Linked DNA regions of Macaca fascicularis. The protein of the gene in region 2 interacts with the protein of the main gene of each other region in a biochemical or structural test. Links are inferred from orthologs where the notes say so. Each region holds a gene or a part of one and is shown on either strand. Other genes may lie near its edges.

Region 1 (4,572 bases), on a different chromosome or scaffold from region 2:
CCCAGTACCTCCTCCTCTCTCTTTCCCTGTGACCTCTGCACACAGGGGCTCCCCTTCATCTTCCATCATGAGTGGAGGATTCCTGAGGGCCGCATCAGAAGCAGATGCTGGAGCCTTGCTTCTTATAGAGCCTGCAGAACCATAAGCTAAAAAATGTTTTGATAAATAACCCAGCCTCTGGTATTCCTTTACAGCAATGCAAAACAGACCAAGACAGTGGGCCTGTCATGCATCAACAAGGGGCGCTGTAGGGGAGGCAGAATTCTACCTCCCTTATCTTAGGGTCCAGGCTGGGCCCAAGAATTAGACTGACATTAGAGAGATGAGCAGGAGAAAAACATACAGTTATTTAATACAAATTTAATGTGACACAGGAGCCCTCATAAGGAAATGAAGATGCAAAGATGCAGTTAGGGTCACTTATATACAGAGGTGGACAAACACTAGTAAGTTGTGAGATTTGATAAGGCCACGGGGCTTGGGTGAGGATAGTCAATGGGGTGAAGAAATGACTAGGTCAAAATGCTTACACACTAGGTTGAACAAAGAGTAGTAACTGTGGCAACAACTAGGAAGATAAGGGTTAGTTTAATAAAGTTTGTTTGTATAGATTTCTCTTGGCTTCTGTCTTAGTCTGTTTTGTGTTGTTAAAGGAATACCTGAGACTGGATGATTTATTGGAAAAAAAAAAAAAAGGTATTGGCTTATGGTTTCCCAGGCTGTACAAGAAGCACGGTGGCTGGGTGCAGTGGCTCACACCTGTAATCCCAGCTACTCGGGAGGCTGAGGCAGGAGAGTTGCTTGAACTTCCCGGGAGGCGGACGTTGCAGTGGGCTGAGATCACACCACTGCACTCCAGCCTGGGCAACAGGGTGAGACTCAGGTCAAAAAAACAAAAAAAGCACGGTGGCCCAGCATGGTGGCTCAAGCCTGTAATCCTAGCACTTTGGGAGGCCAAAGTCGGGGGATCAGTTGAACTCAGGAATTCAAGACCAGCTTGGTCAACATAATGACAGCCCATCTCTCCAAAAAATTTAAAAATTAGCTGGATGTGGTCCCAGCTACTTGGGAGGCTGAGGTAGGAGGGGCCTGGGCAACAGAGCAAGACTGAAAAAAGAAGGAGAGGAGGGGAGGGGAGGGAAGAAGATAAAAAGAAAGGAAAGGAAGGAAGGAAGAAAGGGAGCGAAGAAGGGAGGGAGGGAGAGAGAAAGGAAGGGAGGGAGGGAGAATGGAAGGAAGCAAGTATAGGGCCCACCTCTGCTTCTGGTGAGGGCCTCTGGCTGCTTCTGCTTATGGTGGAAGGTGAAGGGGAACCCATGTGTGTGCAGAGGTCACAGGACTGCACAAGAGAGGAAGCCAGAAAGAGAGGGGAGGGGAGTGCCAGGCTCTTTTCAACAACCAGCTCTTCAGGGAACCAACAGAGTGAGAACTCACCCTAAAGGAGGGCAGGACTCTATTCAGAGGGTGACACCTCCAGGACCCACACACCTCCCACTGAGCCCCGGCTCCAACTTTAGGGATCAAATTTCAGCTTCAGAGTTGGAGGAGATTTGGAAGCTTCCACCTTCTGGTCCTTGATGATAAGAACGTTCCCTTCCTTTTACTATAAGAACATCTTTCATAGGGGAATTCTATTTCTTGCCTTTAAGAAACAACAAGAAACTCAGAATGATCTTCCTACACCTGCCTCTATTTTTTTTTTTTTTTAAGTGCCTTTATCTCAAAAGAGTTAATATGCCAGAAAGGCATATCTTTACCTTCTTCAGCATCCTAAGGCTCATCTGAGCCATACAGCAAAGGGAGTTCTTTGCAGGTCATAAAAAGTGGAAGATTCCTTTAACTCTGGTTGGATCCCAGAGCTGTATCACTGTGTAAAAGTGGAATGCCGGCTGGGCGCGGTGGCTCACGCCTGTAATCCCAGCATTTTGGGAGGCTGAGGCAGGTGGATCACGAGGTCAGGAGATCGAGATCATCCTGGCTAACATGGTGAAACCCTGTCTCTACTAAAAATACAAAACAAAATTAGCCGGGTGTGGTGGTGGGCGCCTGTAGTCCCAGCTATTTGGGAGGCTGAGGCAGGAGAATTGCCTGAACCCTGGAGGCGGAGCTTGCAGTGAGCCGGGATTGCGCCACTGCACTCCAGCCTGGGTAACAGAGCGAGACTCCGTCTCAAAAAAAAAAAAAAAAAGTGGAATGCCAGCTGGGCCTGGTGGCTCATGCCTGTAATCCCAGCACTTTGGGAGGCCGAGGCAGGTGGATCACCTGAGGTCAGGAGTTTGAGACCAGCCTGGCCAATATGGTGAAAACCCATCTCTTTGTGGTGGATACCTGTAATCCCTGTAATCCCAGTTACTTGGTAGGCTGAGGCAGAAGAATCGCTTGAACCTGGGAGGTAGAGGTTGCAGTGAGCAGAGATCGCGCCATTGCACTCCAGCCTGGGCAACAAGAGTTAAACTCCATCTCAAAAAATTTTTTAAAAATTAATTTTTAAAAAAAGTGGAATGCCACATGCTGGCTTTCGGAAGGCTCTTCCCACCCAAGTCATGAGGAAGGGAGAAGAGGATTGCTGAGGAGACACGAGGAAGCTTGTGCTGGAGAGAGATGATCTCCACCGCCGTGGCCTACCCGCATCAACCCTTCACAATGCTGGTGCTAGCTCTGGTGGCCACGACCAACAAGCACTAATATAAGGGAGAGGCGGCCGAGTGGCGTGCCCTGTGGACCAATCAGAGAGTAGGGGGCCATCACGCCACCTGAGGCCAGCCAATGAAAACGCGGCAAGCTCTATAAAAGCGGGCAATCAGCTGAGGTCTGGTCAGAGGACACGGCAGAGACAACAGTTTCAAATTCATGGCCCGAACCAAGCAGACTGCGCGCAAGTCGACGGGTGGCAAGGCGCCACGCAAGCAGCTGGCCACTAAGGTGGCTCGCAAGAGCGCACCCGCCACTGGCGGCGTGAAGAAGCCGCACCGCTACCGACCTGGCACAGTGGCGCTTCGCGAGATCCGCCGCTACCAGAAGTCCACTGAGCTGCTAATCCGCAAGCTGCCCTTCCAGCGGCTGGTGCGCGAGATCGCTCAGGACTTTAAGACCGACCTGCGCTTCCAGAGCTCGGCCGTGATGGCGCTGCAGGAGGCGTGCGAGTCTTACCTGGTTGGGCTGTTCGAGGACACCAACCTGTGTGCCATCCACGCCAAACGGGTCACCATCATGCCCAAGGACATCCAGCTGGCACGCCGTATCCGTGGGGAGCGGGCCTAGGAGGGCCATCTCGCCACCTGAGAGGTTGCGCAACGTTCACCCCAAAGGCTCTTTTAAGAGCCACCCACCTGGTCGGAAGAGTTGCTGTAGCAAGCCAGGCTCTTGGGTTTTGGGGGTTCCTTCCGCTGGCCGGTGCTGGCTTACCTAATTCTGATTAGGGTGGGAGGCTGGCGAATCCTGTGTTCACCCTGTCCAGTTAGGAGGCCAGCTACTCATGCGCGTTACCTCCCAGCCTGTCTCCAGTTACAAGTCCAGCTAGTCGTGTGTGGTGCTAACTTGGTCTATCCCTTTAGATAAGAATCATGGTTGGTCTGTTTGGGGACGGGGTGTTGAGGGTAGCGTAACTGGCCTATCTCCAGTTAGGTAAGCAACCCCAGCTAGTTGTGTCAACTCAGCCTATCTACAGTTAGGTTGGAAGGCTGGCTGGTCTTGTGTGTTCTCAGCTCAGCCTCTTTCAAACTGTTACAAGTCCTGCGTGTGTGTGTGTGTGTGTGTACACACAGCTTCTTTCCAGTGAGGTTACCAGTCCAGCTAGTCTCCTACCTAGACAGCCTGTTAAGGCCAGCAAGTAGTATGTGTTATCTTGGCCTATTTTCAGTTAGAAGTCCAGCTACTTCACCAGCGTGGCAGCTCAGGTCTGTAATCCCAGCACTTTGGGAGGCCAAGGCGGGTGGATCACCTGAGGTCAGGAGTTCCAGACCTGCCTGGCCAACATGGTGAAACCCCATCTCTACTAAAAAGACAAAAATTAGCCAGGTGTGGTGGCACATGCCCGTAATCCCAGCTACTTGGGAGGCTGAGGCAGGAGAACTGCTTGAACCCAGGAGACAGACGTTGCAGTGAGCCAAGATCATGCCACTGCACTCCAGCATGGGCAACAGAGCGAGACTCAGTCTCAAAACCAAAAAAAAAAAAAAAAAAAACAAAGTCCAGCTACTTGTGTGTGTTAACTCAGCCTACCTCCTGTTAATTTAGAAAGCTGGCTAGTTGTATATCTTGTTAACTTGGGCTATCTCCCATTAGGTTAGAAGGCTGGCTAGGGGTGTGTGTGTGTGTATGTGCGCACGTGCACGTGTGCCCATGTGCACACACATATGTAGCTGTGATGTTGGCCCATCTCCAGTTAGAAGTCCACGTCATTGTATGTGTTAACATACCCAATCTCCCATTCAGTTAAAAGGCTGGCTAGTCATGTATGTTGTTAATTCACCCTATCTTCTGTTAGGGTAGATGACTAGCTAGTTGCGTGTGAGAAGCGCAGCCAGGCATGTGCATTGTTAATTCAGCCTAAGTGAAATCAATACTGGGAAA
Region 2 (4,017 bases):
TGCCCTCCTGTGTGTACCTGTTTATGTCTTATTACTGGGACTGCAATGATGTGGCTTTGAAGAACTTTGCCAAGCATTTTTTCATCAATCTCATGAGGAGAGGCAACAAGCTGAGAAACCGATGAAGCAGAAGAACCAACAAGGTGGCAGAATCTTCCTTCAGGGTACTAAGATGCCAGACTGTGACATCTGGCAGAGTGTGCTGAACGCAATGGAGTGTGTGTGACCCTTGGAAAAAAGCAAGAATCTGACTCTACTGGAACTGTGCAAACTGGCCACTGACAAAAACGATCCCCACTTGTGTGACTTCAGGGAGATGCGCTGCTGGAATGATGAAGTGAAATCCATCAAAGAATTGGGTGACCATGTAACCTACTTATGCAAGATGGGGGCCCCTGAATCTGGTATCTTCTGGCCAAGCACAGTCTGGGAGACAGTGATGACAAGAGCTAAGCCTTAGGTTGGCTTCCCCATAACCACAGGGTGACGTCCCCAGTCACCAAAGCAGTGCCTACAGGTAGGGGTTAATTTTACCCATTGTATAAATTGTAGAAAAACTTCCACTTGAATTCTTTCATTTGTATTATTCCTTAACATAAAATAATTCAGTACCCCCAAAGAACAAAATAAAACTGTGAGTGCTACCTGCCATCAAAGAAGAAGAACTTCCCCCGTCCGTTCTTTTCTCCATGAACAAAGTTCCCCTCAAATCTGTCTGTGGAGGAGTAGGTGACTGTGCAGAACCCGTGTGGTAATCCGTCGTCATCCAGGTGTCCTGGAGAAAGGGAACCACAAGGCAAACTTTAACATCGTCAGTGCTCCTCCCATCTGACGTCTAAGCATTCACATGCTGCAAGACAAGTCCCCTGCCCAACTCTCCTCCAGCTGCCAAAGGGTCCCCTCCCTGGCACGAAAGGACAGTCAGCGTGCAAAGGTTTCTCACCTCATCGGCACCAGCAGTACCAAACTGATTGTTACGTACACTTTGTGAACTGATAGGTCCAGAACAGACTTAGACACATTCCAGAATATGAATTTTAAATAAGCTTGCTTTTTACCTGGAACTGAGAGTCATTATCAGTAATATCCTCTGCAGGGCATGTCACAATTTACCAAGTACTCTCCAGAGAGTCCTCATATTTGGAATTGATACCTCCAATCTCTCATGCTTAACTGAAGTGTGGTTGAGATTCCACTGTTTTATAGTCAATTGCCACATACGCAGTCATTGGAATAAATTATCTAATTCTAGAACATTAAGTATGCAATATGATTTTATATATCATTCTATAATATGATGTGGAGGACTGCTAGCCAGTCTGAAAATCTCACTGTTATTGTTATATTCACACGAAGGACACAGTCATATCTTTAAAACTGCCCTAAGAGTTATACAGCTCATTGTACAAACACAGAAACCTGGAGTCCTTCTCACCTTAAACTTGAGCTTAACCTTAAACCTACTGCTTTACTTTACAAAATCTTCAGCTTTGAATGTTTAGTAATAACCTTATCATATACCTTCCACCACTGTGTGTCAGAGGGCTTGTATTTTAAATGGAGCCAGAGTATACACATGGTCATTTAAGCAATGATTGTGATTATCAGCAGAAGTTATTACATGGACCTTTAAGTCACTGGTTCTTCCTAGGTCAAAGATTGGTATAGTTTAATATTGACATTTACAGTCAATGTTTACACTTTTTATTACTATCTACATGTTTTACAAAACCCAGGAATCACCTTATTGGTGTCTTCCCAATCATTCTGGTGAGCTGATTTTGCAGAGGTGGGTGAAAATGAAGGCAGTAGTTATTCTACTGGCTTTTTCTTGGGGTAACAACCTGGGCCATGGAGAGAAAAGGCATGAAAACATTAAACACTGTGTCTAATGCAGGGACATTAAACATTGAAATGTAGCTTCCAGATGGCTCACAGACATAAAAGGAAACACAAACCATACTACCACAATGAAATATTTAGTCTCCTAAAATAATTTATTCTAACATGATAAAGCAATATTAGCCCTTGGAAAAGATGGTAAGTACACACTCTCATAAAGAATAAATATGCGGCCGGCTGTGGTGGCTCACGCCTATAATCCCAGCACTTTGGGAGGCTGAGGCAGGTGGATTACCTGAGGTCCGGAGTTTGAGACCAGCCTGGCCAACACAGTGAAACCCCATCTCTACTAAAAATACAAAAAATCAGCCAGGCATGGTGGCAGTCGTCTGTAATCCCAGCTACTCAGGAGGCTGAGGCAGGATAATCGCTTGAACCCAGGAAGCAGAGGTTGCAGTGAGCCAAGATTGTGCCACTGCACTCCAGCCTCGGCAACAAGAGCGAAACTCCATCTCAACAACAACAACAAAAAGAATAAATATGCTTTTTATTTGTATTATTAATTACATAAACAAAATAGCTGCAAACAAATACAGTGTTTTATTGCTACATCTGACTCTGTATATAATGGGTTACCAAGAACATCTTACAATAAGACACATCTACTTAAACAAATCATAATCAGTATGGATCCCTTCCTTTTAACACAAAAGAGGAAAGGACCAGGAAATTAATGGTCAGAATGGAACTAGGCCATAATTGCTTTCCTCTCGCTCAAAAACGAACTGTACATGACATAAATTCAATGACATTTGAGTCATATGAAATCACTTGGACAATTATTTTCTAAATATCTGATGCCATTTCTCTCATTGAAATAAAGTAAATTTACTTTTCTCTTTTCATTAAAAAAAGCCACTCAGTGTATTGCTAAGAGCTTTTTTTTTAGTGAAATGTTGTTGCAATCAAGTTAAATTTAGGCATATAAATTCAGTGTCCTACTTTTGATTTAGGTATTAATATCCAAATAATCAGTTTAGCCTCATACTAGAGCATTTATTAACTTGTTGAAAATGCTTTCATCATAGAAAACAGTTCACATATTTCAGAGTTTTAAAAGCTTATGTTTGATAAAATTTGTTATTCCACTTTAGATTGAGAGAATTACCATAAATCTGAACACTAAGGAAAAAGTTTCCAATATAATTAATTTCTACCTTCCTTCAGCCCTGTCCTATTTCTGAATAAAACACTGAAGGTTCACCCTCAGCAATGGAATTTAGATATTAGGGAAAATTGAAAGTGTCATATAACATACTACAAGCCCTTGGAGGATAGTACTGATCCCAGTTGAGACGACAACAAAAATGTCAACTCCACTCCATGAAGAATCCTTCCTTCCTTCCCTCCTTCCTTCCTTCCTTCCTTCCTTCCTTCCTTCCCTCCCTCCCTCCCTCCTTCCTTCCTTCTTCCTTGCCTCCCTCCCTCCTTCCCTCCTTTTCTTCCTTTCTTACCTCACTCCCTCCTTCCCTCTTTCTCTTCCTCTTTCCTTTATTTTTCAGAGACAGGGTCTCACTCTGTTACTTAGGCTGGAGTGCAGTGATGAGACCATTGCTTACTGTAACCTCAAACTTGTAGGCTCAAGTGATCCTTCTGCCTCAGCCTTCCATGTAGCTGGGACTTTAGGTAGACATCACCACAACCGGCTAATTTTTTTTTTTTTTTTTTTTTGAGACAGAGTTTCACTCTTTTTGCCCAGGCTGGAGTGCAATGGTGCCATCTTGGCTCACTGCAACCTCCGCCTCCCAGGTGCTAGCAATTGTCCTGCCTCAGCCTCCCTAGTAGCTGGGATTACAGGCACCTGCCACCATGCCCAGCTAATTTTTTTGTATTTTTAGTAGAGACGAGGTTTCACTATGTTGGCCAGGCTGGTCTCGAACTTCTGACCTCAGGTGATCCACCCGCCTCAGCCTCGCAAATGGCTAATTAAAAAATTTTTTTATAGAGACAGGGTCTCACTGTGTTGCCCAGGCTGGTCTCAAACTCCTGAGCTCAAGTGATACACCCACTTTGGGTGCTGGGATTACAGGCAAGAGCCACCACACCTGGCCTCAATGCCTTTCAACAGGCAAATGAAGAGGAGCCCTATCACCATCTTAATCTCTTGGGAGAGAC
Region 3 (4,616 bases), on a different chromosome or scaffold from region 2:
TGCTTGAGCCCAGGAGTTCAAGACCAGCCTGGGCAACAAAGCAAGACCCTCATCTCTAAAAAAAAAAATTTTTTTTTTTTTTTGAGACAGAGTTTTGCTCCTGTTGCCCAGGCTGGAGTGCAATGGCGCAATCTCGGCTCGCTGCAACCTCCACCTCCTCCGTTCAAGCCTCCTGGGTTCAAGCGATTATCCTGCCTCAGCCTCCTGAGTAGCTGGGTTTACAGGTGCCCACCACCATACCTGGCTAATTTTTTTTTTTAGTAGAGATGGGGATTCACCACGTTGGCCAGGCTAGTCTCAAACTCCTGACCTCAGGTGATCCACCCATCTTGACCTCCCAAAGTGCGGGGATTACAGGCGTGAGCCACTGAGCCCGGCCTTCTAAAAATTTTTTTTAAGGATTAGCTGGGCATGGTGGCATGTGCCAGCTACTCAGGAGGCTAAGGCAAGAGGACTGCTTGAGCTCATGGGTTTGAGGCTGCAGTAAGCCATGACTATGCCACTGCATTCCAGCCTGGGTGACACAGTGAGATCCCGTGTCTTAAAAGAAAAAACTTAAAAAACAAGCTAAGTTAGCCACTAGCATATGAACCTTTATGTGCCATGCATATTCTCATTTAACCCAATACCACCTGAAAACACATGTCATTATTCCTAGACTATGGATATAGAGGTGGCATATGCTTGTTTAAGATCATCGAGCCAGTGGAGGCCATGTTTTCAAGAAGGCTGGGCAGGCCAGGTACAGTGGCTCACACCTGTAATCCCAACACTTTGGGAAGCTGAGGCAGGAGGATCGCTTGAGGCCAGGAATTGAAGACCAGCCTGAGCAACATGGCAAGACTCCGTCTCTACAAAATTAAAAAAAGGAATAAAAAAGGAAGGCCGGGCCCAAACTTCTCTGAATTGGGTCTAACATCATGAAGCCAGGTACTTTTGTAACTTCACTTCCATTCCATTTTAAATCAAGTTTTATCTTGGGAGGATACTGGTACAGATGATTCAAGAAGGTATATACCCACTAACTGGTTAAGAAGTGGTTTGACTATAATCCCAGCACTTTGGGAGGCTGAGGCGGGTGGATCACTTGAGGTCAGGAGTTCGAGACCAGCCTGGCCAACATGGAGAAACCCCAACTCTACTGAAAACACAAAAATTAGCCAGGCATGGTGGTGGGCACCTGTAATCCCAGCTACTCAGGAGGCTGAGGCAGGAGAATCACTTGAACCCCGGAAGTGGAGGTTGCAATGAGCTGAGATCACGCCACTGCATTCCAGCCTGGGTGACAGAGCAAGACTCCATCTCAAAATAAAAAAGTTGTAGTTAAGGCATGGTGGCTCATACCTGTAACCCTAACCTTTGGGACACAGAGGCAGGAGGACTGCTTAAGGGCAGGGGTTTAAGACCAACCTGGGCAATATGGTGAAACCTCATGTATACAGAAAAAACTAAAAGTCAGTTGGGCATGGTGGTGGTCGCCTATGGTCCCAGCTACTCAGGAGGCTGAGGATCCCTTGAGCCCAGCAGTTCAAGGCTACAGTGTGTTATAATTGTGCCAGGGCACTCCAGCCTGGACAACAGAGTGAGACTCATCTCTAAAAATAAAATTGTTGTTGTTGTTGTTTTTGTTTGTTTGTTTGTTTTGAGACAGGGTCTCACTCTGTCACCCAGGCTGGAGTGCAGTACCACGATCTCGGCTCACTATATACAGCCTCAATCTCTGGGGCTCAAGTGATACTCCCACCTTAGTCTCTTGAGTAGCTGGGACTCCAGGTACATGGCACTACTCCTGGCTAATTTTTGTATTTTTAGTAGAGATGGGGTTTTGCCATGTTGCCCAGGCTGGTCTCAAACCCCTGGTTCAAGAGATTCATCCGCCACTGCCTCCCAAATTGCTGGGATTACAGGCGTAAGCCACAGCACCCAGCCTTCAAAAAAAAAGTAGGGGGTCGAACCAAATATCCATCCCTCCCCAAAGGCCCAACCAGGCCAGTTAACAAGCCCAAGGAAATAGAAAAATGGCAGAGTGCTTTCACAGATTCAGCTGGAAGTGTCCAGGCCTGGTGAGGGTTCCTATGCCTCATGCACACCTCCCTTGAACAAGTTGTTAGGAATGAATAGATGGCGTTCATGGACAAGGGGCTGGGACCACTGCTCCCACTGATCCTGTGCACGGAAGTCGGACAGAGGCATGAATTGCTAAAGCCAGGGCCTCCAACATTAGACACACACACTAAAGAACACACCCACGAACACACGCAAACACACACGAAAGTGTAGCCAGTTCTCAATAGCAAGACTTCCCTGATGCCCACGGCTCACAGGCACAGATTTACAGGAAAAGACCAACCATGGAGCCTTCACGCTTCCCGGGCCCTGCGCGGCATTGCACGGTTCAAGTTCCTGCCAAAACACAGACTTTCCCAAGGAGCAAGGAACACACAGTCCCAAGTGACAGAATGAGTTCCCCCTACGGAAGGCTGGGCTCTCAAACATGAGCCAGCCCAGCCCGGGCCCCGACCGGTGACGTCCGTCTCTGGAGGCCGCCATCGGGATGCACAGCTTTGGGGGAAAGGCACTGAGGGACCCCCCACCAGAGAAGCACCACCGGGGACCGGGCCGGACACCGGAAGTGGAGGCCGAAGTGCCGGTGCCCGAGGGGTGTCCGTTGGCCGCGGGCTGCCCACTTCCTGTGCTACCAAGCTGGAGGCAGGAGCCCGGCCCACCGCTGCTTGGAGAAGGGGACCCCGGAGACGAACCCAAAGCTTGCTGTATTTGGGGATCAAAAGAGAACCCCCACCCCGCCCAGTTTCTAGCCACCAGGGAGCTACGGGGGAATCCACAGCCCATTTTGGCGCCAAACAGCCCGGGCACGCGCGACCGGAAGTGCCACCCTGCCCGCGCCAACTGCCGCTGCGCGCCGCACCACCCCACGCATGCGCGCCCGTCTGTCAGCAGCGGCCACTGGCCACCCCGAGGGGAAGCGACCCCCCACCCAGCGCCCTGCCTGGCCCCCCGAGTCCACGTTCCCCCCACGGTACCTACCGCCTGCGGACATCGTCGGGCAGTGAGATGGCCGGGACGGCCAGTGTGGGCACCCGGGCTGGGGCGGTACGCGCCGGCATCTCGGAGGCTGCAGCAGACGCGACGGCGGCAGCGCAGGCGCCCCGGCTTTTCGCGCGGAAACCGATGGGGAGGGGCGATGAGCGGAGGCGGCGTCTACCACCCCAGTCCGGGCGCGGGGAGGGGGGAGCGGATGTACCAAAAGGAAAGAGGCGATACCCTGTGCAGAAGGATGGAACGGAGCAGGCCATGCCCAGGGACCACGCATGCGCGAGGCGGTCACGCACCCCCGCGCGGAGCAGTGGGCTCGTCCAAGCTCCACGGTTTGCTGGGAGGTGGGCACCGTGCCCGAGGCATTCATTCATTCATTCTTTCAGGTGTGATGGGGATAAAGCAGCAAGAAGTCCCCAAGGGCTTGTGAGAGCCCTTGAGTAAAGTCCTCAGTTCCAATTCAACCTCCATCTATTTGCTGGCTGTACGACCTTGGATGGGTCACTAGGACTCAGCCTCTGTGTCCTCGTCTGTAAAACGGGGTAATTGCACCTACTCTAGAAAATCTTGAGTATGCACAGAATTTGTAGCTAGTACCAAGAATCTCACAGTGTATAGAGACCCGTGCCACTTCTATACCCAGTGTGTGTGGGGTTTTTTGTTCCCCTTTTTAAGCACCACGTGGCTTATGCCTGTCATCCCAGTACTTTGGAAGGCCAGGGCAGGAGGATCGCCTCCTGGTTTAAGAGAAACCACATCTCTTAAAAGAAAAAAAGGAAAACAAAAATTAGCTAGGCGTAGTGGCGTGTGCCTGTAGTATAACTACTCTAGAGGTTGAGGCAGGAAGATCGCTTGAACCAGTGAGGCAGAGGTTATAGTGAGCCATGATTGCGCCACTGCATTCCAGCCTGGGAGACAGAGCAAGACCGTGTCTCAAAAAAATAAAAATAAAAAGTAAAAATAAATTAAGAAGCACTATGCCAGGCGCAGTGGCTCATGCCTGTAATCCCAGTGCTTTGAGAGGCCCAGGTGGGAGGATCGCTTGAGGTTAGGAGTGCAAGACCAGCCTGAGCAACATAGGGATACCCCATCTCTACAAAAAATACAAAGATTCGCTGGGCATGGTGACATACACCTGTAATCCTACCTACTCAGGAGGCTGAGGTGGGAGGATGGCTTGAGCCCTGGCAGTATAGGCTGCAGTGAGCTATGATTGGGCCGCTGGACTCCTGCCTGGGCGACGGGGTAAGACCTTGTCTCACTCTGTCACGCCGGCTGGAGTGCAGTGGTGAGATCTTGGCTCACTGCAACCTCTGCCTGCCAGGTTCAAGCGATTCTCATGCCTCAGCCTCCCTAGTAGGCTGGGATTACGGGCGTACTCCACCACGCCTGGCCAATTTCTGTATTTTTAGTGGGAGAGACAGGGTTTCACCATGTTGGCCAGGGTAGTCTGGAACTCCTTACCTCAAGCAATCCACTTGCCTCAGCCTCCCAAAGTGCTGGGATTATAGGCCTAAGCCACCGCAACCGGCCGGAATTTTTTTTTTTTTTTAAGCACCAGA
Region 4 (4,803 bases), on a different chromosome or scaffold from region 2:
GACTCACACCTATAATCCCAGCACTTTGAGAGGCTGAGACAGTCAGATTGCTTGAACTCAGGAATTCAAGACCAGCCTGGGCAACATGGCAAGACCCTATCTCTACTAAAAATACAAAAATTAGCTGGGCGTGGTGGTACACGCCTGTAATCCCAGCTACTTGGGAGGCTGAGGCACAGAATAGCTTGAACCTGGGAGGCGGAGGTTGCAGTGAGCCACAATCACGCCACTTCACTCCAGCCTAGGTAACAGAATGAGACCCTGTCTCCGGAAAAAAAAAAAAAAAAAAGTTAAGTTTTCCATAGTAAACACGTATTATAGTTATAATACTTGAGTTTGTGGAAGTGGACAGGCAGGGCCAAGAGGAATGGCCAAATCGCACAGAGCGTTATATACAGGTGTTCAACGAATGCCTGCTGGTATAGAAGCTAAGCCTGTAGCTTATTTCAAGGACTGCCCCAGACAAATGCCAGTGCAGAGAGGCCAAAAGCCGAACCTGTGGACTTTCTGGACTTCAGCTCCAGAATGGTGCTAGCCTCCTGGCCCTTACGTATTCTGGGAGCCGGGGCTCCTTGTCTCTGTGCCTAGTGCCTCCTGGGCATTCACTAATTCAACAACCGTTGAATGAATGCAGTGCCCAAGCCAATGAGCCTGCCCCTGACAGGTGGCGCGGAGGGCATTTTTCTTTGCCCCTGTCCCTCCCTTTGATCCTAGAACCCATAATCCTGTTCAGTTACTTGAGGACAAGACCCTCGGGTTCTGTTAGGTTTCTGCAGACCTGAGCCTGCTATATGCTTGTCACACAACTGAATGGAAGATGCTTGCCCAGGTCCCAAGCGGTACCCACAGGGACAGGTCCCTGGAGTACAGGAGACAGGCCACCTGGTCCACCCCTGGTACAAACCCCTCCCACCCACTCATTAAGAGGAAGGGCCCCTAAAAGCCCTTCCTGCCCTTTCTCCAACCTTTATCAGCATCTCTAGGAAGCAAGGCGTCCCAGAGGTCAACCTCACAGAAAATGCAGACTGGTCTCCCCACTCAAGAGCAGAATGACATGGGAAGATTCTAACATCTCTAGGCCTCAGCTTCCCAATCTGTAAAAAGGGACTGCTGCTGATAGGGTTAAATGAGTTAATTAGGTAAAGTGCTTGGCACAGAGCCTGGCACACAAGACATCCTCAAAACAATGGTGGCTGCTATTGTTATTATTATTAGCATTGTGGTGATTCCGGAAGGCAGCATTGGGCATGGGGCCAAGGGGGTTGGGGGAGCCTCCTCAGGATGCCTCAGGGACCAGCTGCCACCCACACCCCCATCAGCAGTTAGGCAGCTTCTACCTCCTTGTCCTGAGTCCTGCCTCACCCCTCCCACTTGCTTCAAGCTCCCTGCTGAGACCCCATCCTGCCTGGCCAGGCCCCGCCTGCACACCAGAGCCCCACCTTCACCCATAGGCTGCGCCAGTCAAACTGGTCTCCACACCCTGCCCTGCGCCCCACAGGTCCCAGCTCTACACCTCCAATCCCTTCTCCCACTGTAATTCAGCCGCCTCTTCTGGGCCCCCCAGTCTGAACTGGTCTTGAGCTCAGCGATCAGGGAGGACTTTATTAAAGGATCTCCCTGGGACATTTTCTCTCCTGGCACTGGGGGCCTCTCCAGCTCCCAGAGGCCCAGCCCACCTAGTCCTTCTACAGAGACTCAGGGGTCGGCCTGCCTGATTAATGAGGTTCCATGGCAACCAGGGCCTGGGAGGGTGGAGGGTGGCAGATGGAAGGACAGGCAGAGGGAGGGGACCTGCAGCTGGTCCAGCTGCCCCGCCCCTGCAGAGAAGGCCTCCCAGCCAGGAGGGCTGTCCCCAGAGGCCTGGCCAGCCAGGCCTGCACCTGGCAGTCAGCATCGAGGCAGAAGGAGGGTCTCCTCAATGGCTCACCAACGGTTAGGCCCCAGGACCTTCCTCCGCCCCGCCTTCACTTCCCCTAGCAGCTGTGCTCACTACCGAGATGCAAATTCTGAGCTGAAGCCAGCAGGCCTCAGTTCAAATCCCAGCCCCACCACCTGCAGCCGTATGACCAGGGGCAAGTCACTTCCCCTCTCTGGGCCTCAGTTCTTCCTCCGTCAGATGGGCACAGTGACAACACAGCTCACAGCGGGGTTGTGAGTTTTAGCTGACTTGAAGTCGGCCGAAGGCCTGGCATGCAGTAAACGCCAGTTGAATACACGTGGGTTATTATTATCACTGAGTCTGACGCTGGGGAGCCTCCAGTGAGGAAGCTGAGGCCCAGAGCACAGAGGAGCAAACAGGGACCGGCCCGAGGTCACCCCGCACCCCAGGGCGGGGCCCGCAGGCCCAACCCCGGCTCTGCACCGCCCAGCCTGGGCGCCTCAGTCAACCCCTCCCCCGCCCCCTGCCGCCTCCAGGCCAAACACGGCGCCCTCCCGGGTCTGCGCGGGGGGCACAGGAGGCGCTGTCGGCGCGTCGTCCCTGGGGTCCGTACCGGCGGGCGGCCGAGCGCGGGGCGCGGCGCACTGGGTGTGGGCCGGGGCGCCTGCGGTGTGGCGAAGAGCAGCAGGTCAGGGTCGCAGGGGCCGGCGGCTGGCGCCGCGGGGCCGGTGGGAGCCGGCGGGGCGCTGGCGTCCTGCGCGGCAGAGATGATGACGATCTGCGAGGAGTCGAGCAGCCGCAGCGCGCCGGCCCCGAGCAGGGCCTCCAGCGCCGGCGCGCATGGGCCGCCCGCAGGGGCCCCGGCCAAGGCCATGACGCTCACGGCCCGCGCGGCCCAGGTGACAGGCGGCGGCGGCGGCGCGGGCCCATGGCGGCAGGCCCCGGCGAGGGCTCGATCCCGCTCCGCCCCCGGCCGCCGCTGCCTGCAAAGTCCCGGCCACTTTTACGCGCCAAATCCTTTTTGCCGCGAAAGAGCCACGAGCCGCCGAGCGCCGCCACAATTGGCTGCCCGGGCCGTGACGAGAACGACGGCGGCGGCTCCTATTGGCTTTAGCGCGCCGGACCCGGCGGCGAGGGGCGGGATGGGGCGGCGGCGCGGGGCGGTACGGCCAATGACGGGGCGGGGCGCGCGCAGGCTTTGTCCGGATGGTGCCAGGCGCGGTCTGACTCCCCGCCCCCAGCCCGGGCGTCCCCTGTTGGAGGCGTGGGGACACGGGAACACGGGCCCCGCCCTGCCCCGCCCCGCCCTGCCCCGCCCCGATGCTCCCGCATCCCACTGCCCTTTCTATAGTGCAGGTTCAGAACAGAGCCTCTGTTCTGCACGTGACCCTCAACCTGTAGCCTTCCACAGCCTCAGCTTAGATTTCCAGAGACTGCCCCCTTTTTTTTTCGGGATCATCAGTTCCACAGCCCAGCCATCAGCCACCTCTTCCATCCTCAACTTGCCTCACCCATGACATTATCCTAATCCTGCACCCGGCCCTATCCCGCTCACCCAGAGCCCAAGCTGAAGAGCGGTGGCTAGAAATGGCGGGGGGACGTCAAGCTTTCCTGCAAGTCCCATTTTAGCCAAAATCTCCAACAGCCAACGTAAAGCGTCGGCCTGAACTCATTCATTCCCTCACTCATTCAACAAACGTTTGAAGAGCCTGCTCTGTGCCTCATCCTTAAATCTGCCCCATCCTTAACTCGTGGCCCTGAGGAGCTCACAGTCTAGTAGACGGGAACAGAAAGGTAACAAACGTTTACAATAACATGAAGCGTCGTCTGGGCGCGGTGGTTCACGCCTGGAATCCCTGTAATCAGAGGGCGGGGTGGATCGCTTGAGTCCAGGAGTTTGAGACCAGCCTGAGCAACATGGTGAAAACCCGTCTCTACAAAAAATACAAAAATTAGCCAGGCATGGTGGCGCGTGCCTGTAGTCCCAGCTACTTGGGAGGCTGAGCTGGGAGGATTGCTTGAGCCCGAGAAGTCGAGTCTGCAGTGAGCTATGATCATGCTACTGCACTCCAGCTTGGGTGACAGAGCGAGATCCTGTCGCAAAAACAAAACACATCACTTCTGGGGAGCCCTCCCAAGGATTTACTCGCTTCCTCTATTGCCCACTGCTGCCTCTGTTCCAATGCTGACCACACACTCCTTTTCTCCATCTGCCTCCCCTACCAATCTAGGAGCTCAGTAGCGACTCCTCCCATCACTGGTCTGACCGAGAGCAGGCGCTGAGAAAGGTTATGAAAGAAACAGACGCTAAGCCAGAGGCTGCTTAGACTGTGACAAGGAGACTATGGTTCTGCAAGGGTGGTCCTTAGGCCACTGGCTTCAGAACCACGTGGTCACTTGCTAATTTTGGGCCCACCCTGGCCTTGCCAATTTGAAATCTCTAGGTGCCCAGGAATCTGCATTTTAACAATGTCGTGTCGCCATTCCAGGTGATGTTTTTCTCTTTCTTTCTTTTATTTCTTTCTTTCTTTCTTTTTTTTCCCCGACACTTAGGGAATTAGAAAAGCCAGTATCTTAATTTTTTTTCCTACTTATTTTATATAGAGGAGGTCTCACTATGCTGCGCAGGCTAGTCTCAAACCCCTGGGCTCAAGAGATCCTCCCGCCCCCACTCCATAAAGAAGCTGAGGGCTAGGTCCCATTCTAAACAACCAACCTGGGCACTGGCAGAGGGCAGGAGAAACCGGCACATTCCCATTACAGATGGAAAGAATGTCCTTTCCCTGCACCTTCCCACAGGGGCCCAGTAAAACTAACATTCATTTGTGTAAAGCCCTCTCGAACCCAACTCATTCAACAAACACTTATTGAGCACCTGTTATAGACCGAGCATTGTGCTGGTGTAACTGTGGTGGCTGGCAAGG
Region 5 (4,568 bases), on a different chromosome or scaffold from region 2:
GCCAATGAGGGAGATGCAGGAAAGGCGGGCCAGGGAGGGTGGCAGAGGGTGCGGGGGCGGCAGGCAGGGTAGCCCTCACCTTGGAAGGGATTGTTGTTCGTCTGGATGCGCTGAGTGATAGCCTGCTCCAGGTCCCGCTTCTTCACACACTGGATTCCCAGGTTCTGGAAACTGAGCACCCCCAGCCATCTGTCCCACTGTCTCTCACACAGCCCGGACCTTCCTGCCTTGCCCAGTCTGCTCCTTCCTCCCCCACCCACCCCCAGACCATCGCTCCATGCTTGACCCCCTCCAGTGGCTTCCTACTGTGCTGCAATGAACCCTGTCCCTTCCCTCAGCTGACAAGCACCTCCGTGCCCCCGCCCCTGCCAGCCTCCCCGTGGGCTCCCTGCTTACAACCACAGGCGCTTCTTTTCCATTCTCTAAACACAGGACACTCATTCCCACCTCAAGGCCTCTGCACTTGTTTGGTCGGCTTGGAATGTTCTTTTCCTACTTCTCTCCTCCTTCTCACCATTCAAGGAGGGAGGCCTTCCCTGACCTTCCAATCTAAAGTCATCACACCAGCTCCCGTAACTCCCCCACCCCAGGTTATCCTTCTATCCTATGACTTTGTTTTATTTTCAGGACTGAAATTGTTACTCTGACAGCACCTTGTTTATTTATCTGTGTATTTATTTATTTTTAAGAGACAGGGTGTTGGGCCGGGTGCGGTGGCTCACACCTGTAATCCCAGCACTTTGGGAGGCTGAGACAGGCAGATCATGAGGTCAGGAGATTGAGAACATCCTGACTAACATGGTGAAACCCCTTCTCTACTAAAAAAAAAAACGCAAAAAAATTAGCTGGGCGTGGTGGCGGGCACCTGTAGTCCCAGCTACTTGGGAAGCTGAGGCAGGACAGTGGTCTAAACCCGGCAGATAGAGGTTGCAGGGAGCTGAGATTGCGCCACTGCACTCCAGCCTGGGGACAGAGCAAGACTCCGTCTCAAAAAAAAAAAAAAAAACACGACAAGGTGTCGCTCTGCTACCCAAGTGTCGTGGTGTAATCATAGCTTGCCATAGCGGTGACCTCCTGGGCTCAGGTGATCCTCCCACATCAGCCTCCCAAGTAGCTGGGACTATAGGCACAAGTCACCATACCCAGCTAATTTCTTATTTTTTTGTAGAGATAGGGTCTCACTATGTTGCCTTGGTTAGTCTTGAACTCCCAGGCTCAAGAGATCTTCCTGCCTTGGCCTCCGGAAGTGCTAGAATTATAAGCATGAGCCACTATGCCTGGCCTGTATATTTTTTTAAGGCCTGTTTCTGTCAACTGCAATGTCACCTCCAGGGGAGAGTGTTGGTTCAGTGGTTTTCTTTCTCAAACAAGAGACATGACTCCAAGGGACTTGTCCTTCCAGCTACAGGGGTCAGGGATTCAGAAGTGATTAGGGACCCATCCATATCCCTTGGAGCTCTTATCTGTGCTAGAGTAGAGGTACAAATAGATCATTTCAAGACAAAGAGAGTTTACTTGCAGAGCTGAGTCAGAGCAAGAAGTAAGCAACTCTGCCCTGTGTCCAGAAAGGAGTAACACTGTAGCGGCTACTTCATAGCCCGCCTCCTGTTCCCTCATGCTGGGCCTCCTAGCCTGCAGGGAGCTCACCTGTGGATGCAGCGGTCCGGGCAGAGCTCAGCCTCATAGAAGCCATCCCGGCAGTCCTTTCCTACAAGCTCGTGGGGGTGAGGCCGGTGAGGAGGGTCCTTGGTGACTAGGGAGATGCGTACTGTCCCTGGTCCTGTGTAGCCATTGATCTGTCCAAAGTACAGAGGCCCAGACATCCAAACCTGACTCCCAGACACAGAGGGCTGGGGTTCCACAGTCCCTTCCCCGCACACCCTGGTGCAGTGCTGACCTTGATGGTGGGGTGGGTCTTGGTGGTATCTGTGCTCCTCTCGCCTGGGATGCTGCCCGCGGAGCGCCCCTCGCACTTGTAGCGGAAGCGCATGCCCCGCTGCTTGGGCTGCTCAATGATCTCCACATAAGGGCCAGAGGCCTGGGCTGGCTCTGCCAGGGGACACCGCAGGCCCATTAGACAGCTGCCCCCGCTGCCCTACCCCAGGGAACACCTCCCGGACCGCTGCGGGGGCCACTTACCTGCCGGGAAGATGAGGGGGAACAGTTCTGAAAGGGGAGGGAGATCAGGGTCAGCACACACCCACTGCCCATCCTCACAAGGGAGTATCTGCTCTCCACAGAGAAGAGAAGCCAGGCTCCCTCCCAGGGGAACTGAGTAAGGACCTGCTTCCTAGAACCTGCGGTGAAACTAAGGAGTGGAGGAAAGGAACCAGAAACACCTGCTTCTTGAGGGAAAACGGGGTAAGGAATCCTTCTCCCGAGGGAAGCCGAATCAGGGCCTGTTGTACTTTCATAAGGAAAACTGAGGGAGGGCACGCCCCACCTCCATCCAGAGAGGAAACTGAATCAGATGCGTTCTCCCCTAATAGGGAAACGAAGCCAGAGCTGCCCCCATGGACGGTGTGGAGGGAAACTGAGTCAAGGCTCCCTCTGCTCCCCCACCCAGGGAGGATGCTGAGTCAAGGGCCCCCCTCCACCCAGAGGGGAAACTGAGTCAGACCCCTCCCCGCCTGCCCCGCCCCGCGCCACCATCCGGCAGGCCGACCGCTCCCTGCGCAGCGCCAGTCGGCGCAGGAAGGGGCGGAAAGCGGCGCGGGGCCTCCCGCCACAGCCGGGGCGGTCCCGGCGCGGCCACCCCGCGGGGTCAGAGGGCGACCTCACCGTCCATGGCCGGGGTCCCGGGGGCGGGGCCGGGGTCGCAGCTGGGCCCGCGGCGTGCACTACAGCCGAGCCATTCGCCAGAGGCGGAAATGCGCCGCGCGCGCCCGCCGTCGCGTCACTGCCCGGAATCCGGCCGCGCCTGCGCGCTGCCCCGCCGCCGCCCGGCGAAGGGGCCGGGAGCAAGTGCGCGCCGCGCGGAGGACGAAGAGGCCGCGCGCACAGCCGCTGCCGGGGGCCGGGGCCAAGTGCGCGCGTCGCCGGGGACGAAGAGGCTGGTGTGCCCGGTGGTTCGGCTAGCTCCCGGGTCCCGGCCCCGCCTGGAGGGCGGGTCCGCCGATTACTCACTTTGTTTTTAGGGGATTTCAGGGCCCCCTCCCACCGATCGGCGGAGTTTGGTGATGTCACTCTGGGCCGGGTCTGGAGCAAAGCCCGGGCTACGGGGCTGCGGCCGCCCGCCCCGCGCAGGGAAAGGCCCAGTCGGGCCTTCTGCTCCGCAGAGGCCGGGTGGTTGAACTCCACGCCGGTTTCCTCATCGCTAAAGGTGCCTTTCGGTGGTGACTGTCTCAGAAGCACGTTAAAATGTCCAACCTACCCCACTCTAGATGCGGCTGTAGGGGAAGGGGAGCGGCCGGACCTCCCCCTCTGACAGTGCATCAGGGAGCTTTGCGGAGCCTGCAGCCCGGATGGGACAACTTGAGGCCCTCCCGCTGGCGAGCTGGCCGAGAGCTCGTCCCTCTCCAGCTAAAGCGCCAGCTTACTATGCAGCCAAACTGCCGGCCCTCAGCGGCTGCAGGAGCAGGGGGTCCCCAGGGGTAAACCCCGGAGCTTCGTCTCTGAAGCCTGGCGCTTGTATCTCAGAAGGTCCGGAACCCACAGGGGACACTCGAATCAGCAGGGCCACAACCCCCAACCCCACTGCCCCCGCCTGTGTTTGCCCTGGACCTCCAGCTAGGGCTGACCACTAATTCTGTCATGTGACCCCACAGTGCGGGTAGCTCCCCCAAGACCAAGCCCAAGGCGCGTCCTTGTGGGGGCTGGGGCTGGCGCAGCCCCACCTCAGGCCTCATCCCCGAAGGAGGATGCTCCAGGGGGCGGAGTCTTCTCCAGATGGAGAAAGACTTATTTTCTCTGAATTCGTCTTGAATTAGGAAATCATGTGGGAATTGGAAAAGATTGGAAATTCTGACTTGTTTCCCAGGCTCTGAAGAAACAGGAAGAGAAAAGTGAAAATAGAGTTAGCACCCCGCCCACTCATTTCAGTTTCTCCAGTGGCTGGCCCTGATTAGAAAAGTGTTTACTTTTGGCAGGGGGCGGGGAAGGCCGACTTCAGTTGAGCGAATGGATGACATACAATTATCATTAAACCTTGCATGGATCCTCTTCTTAAAATTCTTGTATATTTATAACTTTTAAATTAATACCATAAACACCCGTGTACCCATTGCAAAACTTAAGGGACCACCACCGTGCAGAATTCTGCATTGTATTGTATTGTATTGTATGTATTTATTTTTTGAGACAGGCTCGCGCTCTGTCGCCCAGGCTGGAGTGTAGTGGCACAGTCTTGGCTCACTGCAGCCTCTACCACCTAGGATCAAGCAATCCTCCCACTTCAGCCTCCTGCATAGCTGGGACTATGGGAGCACACCACCATGCCTGGCTAAGTTTTTGTATTTTTTTGTAGAGAAGTGGTTTAACCTTGTTGTCTAGGCTGTCCTTGAACTCCTGAGCTCAACTTTCCTTCCACCTTGGCCTCACAAAGTGCTGGGATTACAGGAATGAGTCAC

What was found.
Region 1: of the proteins of SETD7 (region 2) and H3-4, one has a biochemical effect on the other in vitro, tested with the Homo sapiens proteins (2 studies listed by BioGRID). The link is inferred for Macaca fascicularis from reciprocal best matches to the Homo sapiens genes SETD7 and H3-4.
Region 3: of the proteins of SETD7 (region 2) and DNMT1, one has a biochemical effect on the other in vitro, tested with the Homo sapiens proteins (2 studies listed by BioGRID and IntAct, with this or other methods). The link is inferred for Macaca fascicularis from reciprocal best matches to the Homo sapiens genes SETD7 and DNMT1.
Region 4: of the proteins of SETD7 (region 2) and E2F1, one has a biochemical effect on the other in vitro, tested with the Homo sapiens proteins (3 studies listed by BioGRID). The link is inferred for Macaca fascicularis from reciprocal best matches to the Homo sapiens genes SETD7 and E2F1.
Region 5: of the proteins of SETD7 (region 2) and RELA, one has a biochemical effect on the other in vitro, tested with the Homo sapiens proteins (3 studies listed by BioGRID and IntAct, with this or other methods). The link is inferred for Macaca fascicularis from reciprocal best matches to the Homo sapiens genes SETD7 and RELA.

Annotation. Positions count from the first base shown.
Region 1 is NC_088375.1:86,334,882-86,339,453, reverse strand, and holds H3-4 (histone H3.1t), read left to right. Parts: upstream 1-1,698; 5' UTR 1,699-2,850; coding exon 2,851-3,261; 3' UTR 3,262-4,241; downstream 4,242-4,572. UniProt on the Homo sapiens protein: Core component of nucleosome. Nucleosomes wrap and compact DNA into chromatin, limiting DNA accessibility to the cellular machineries which require DNA as a template.
Region 2 is NC_088379.1:144,703,421-144,707,437, forward strand, and holds part of SETD7 (histone-lysine N-methyltransferase SETD7), read right to left. Parts: intron 776-4,017; coding exon 646-775; intron 1-645. UniProt on the Homo sapiens protein: Histone methyltransferase that specifically monomethylates 'Lys-4' of histone H3. H3 'Lys-4' methylation represents a specific tag for epigenetic transcriptional activation.
Region 3 is NC_088393.1:10,740,047-10,744,662, forward strand, and holds the start of DNMT1 (DNA (cytosine-5)-methyltransferase 1), read right to left. Parts: upstream 2,875-4,616; 5' UTR 2,851-2,874; coding exon 2,351-2,850; intron 1-2,350. UniProt on the Homo sapiens protein: Methylates CpG residues. Preferentially methylates hemimethylated DNA. Associates with DNA replication sites in S phase maintaining the methylation pattern in the newly synthesized strand, that is essential for epigenetic inheritance.
Region 4 is NC_088384.1:89,710,028-89,714,830, forward strand, and holds the start of E2F1 (transcription factor E2F1), read right to left. Parts: upstream 2,875-4,803; 5' UTR 2,754-2,874; coding exon 2,493-2,753; intron 1-2,492. UniProt on the Homo sapiens protein: Transcription activator that binds DNA cooperatively with DP proteins through the E2 recognition site, 5'-TTTC[CG]CGC-3' found in the promoter region of a number of genes whose products are involved in cell cycle regulation or in DNA replication.
Region 5 is NC_088388.1:8,704,726-8,709,293, reverse strand, and holds the start of RELA (transcription factor p65), read right to left. Parts: upstream 2,875-4,568; 5' UTR 2,789-2,874; coding exon 2,782-2,788; intron 2,309-2,781; exon of another isoform or gene 2,167-2,308; coding exon 2,140-2,166; intron 2,050-2,139; coding exon 1,898-2,049; intron 1,797-1,897; coding exon 1,648-1,796; intron 172-1,647; coding exon 80-171; intron 1-79. UniProt on the Homo sapiens protein: NF-kappa-B is a pleiotropic transcription factor present in almost all cell types and is the endpoint of a series of signal transduction events that are initiated by a vast array of stimuli related to many biological processes such as inflammation, immunity, differentiation, cell growth, tumorigenesis and apoptosis.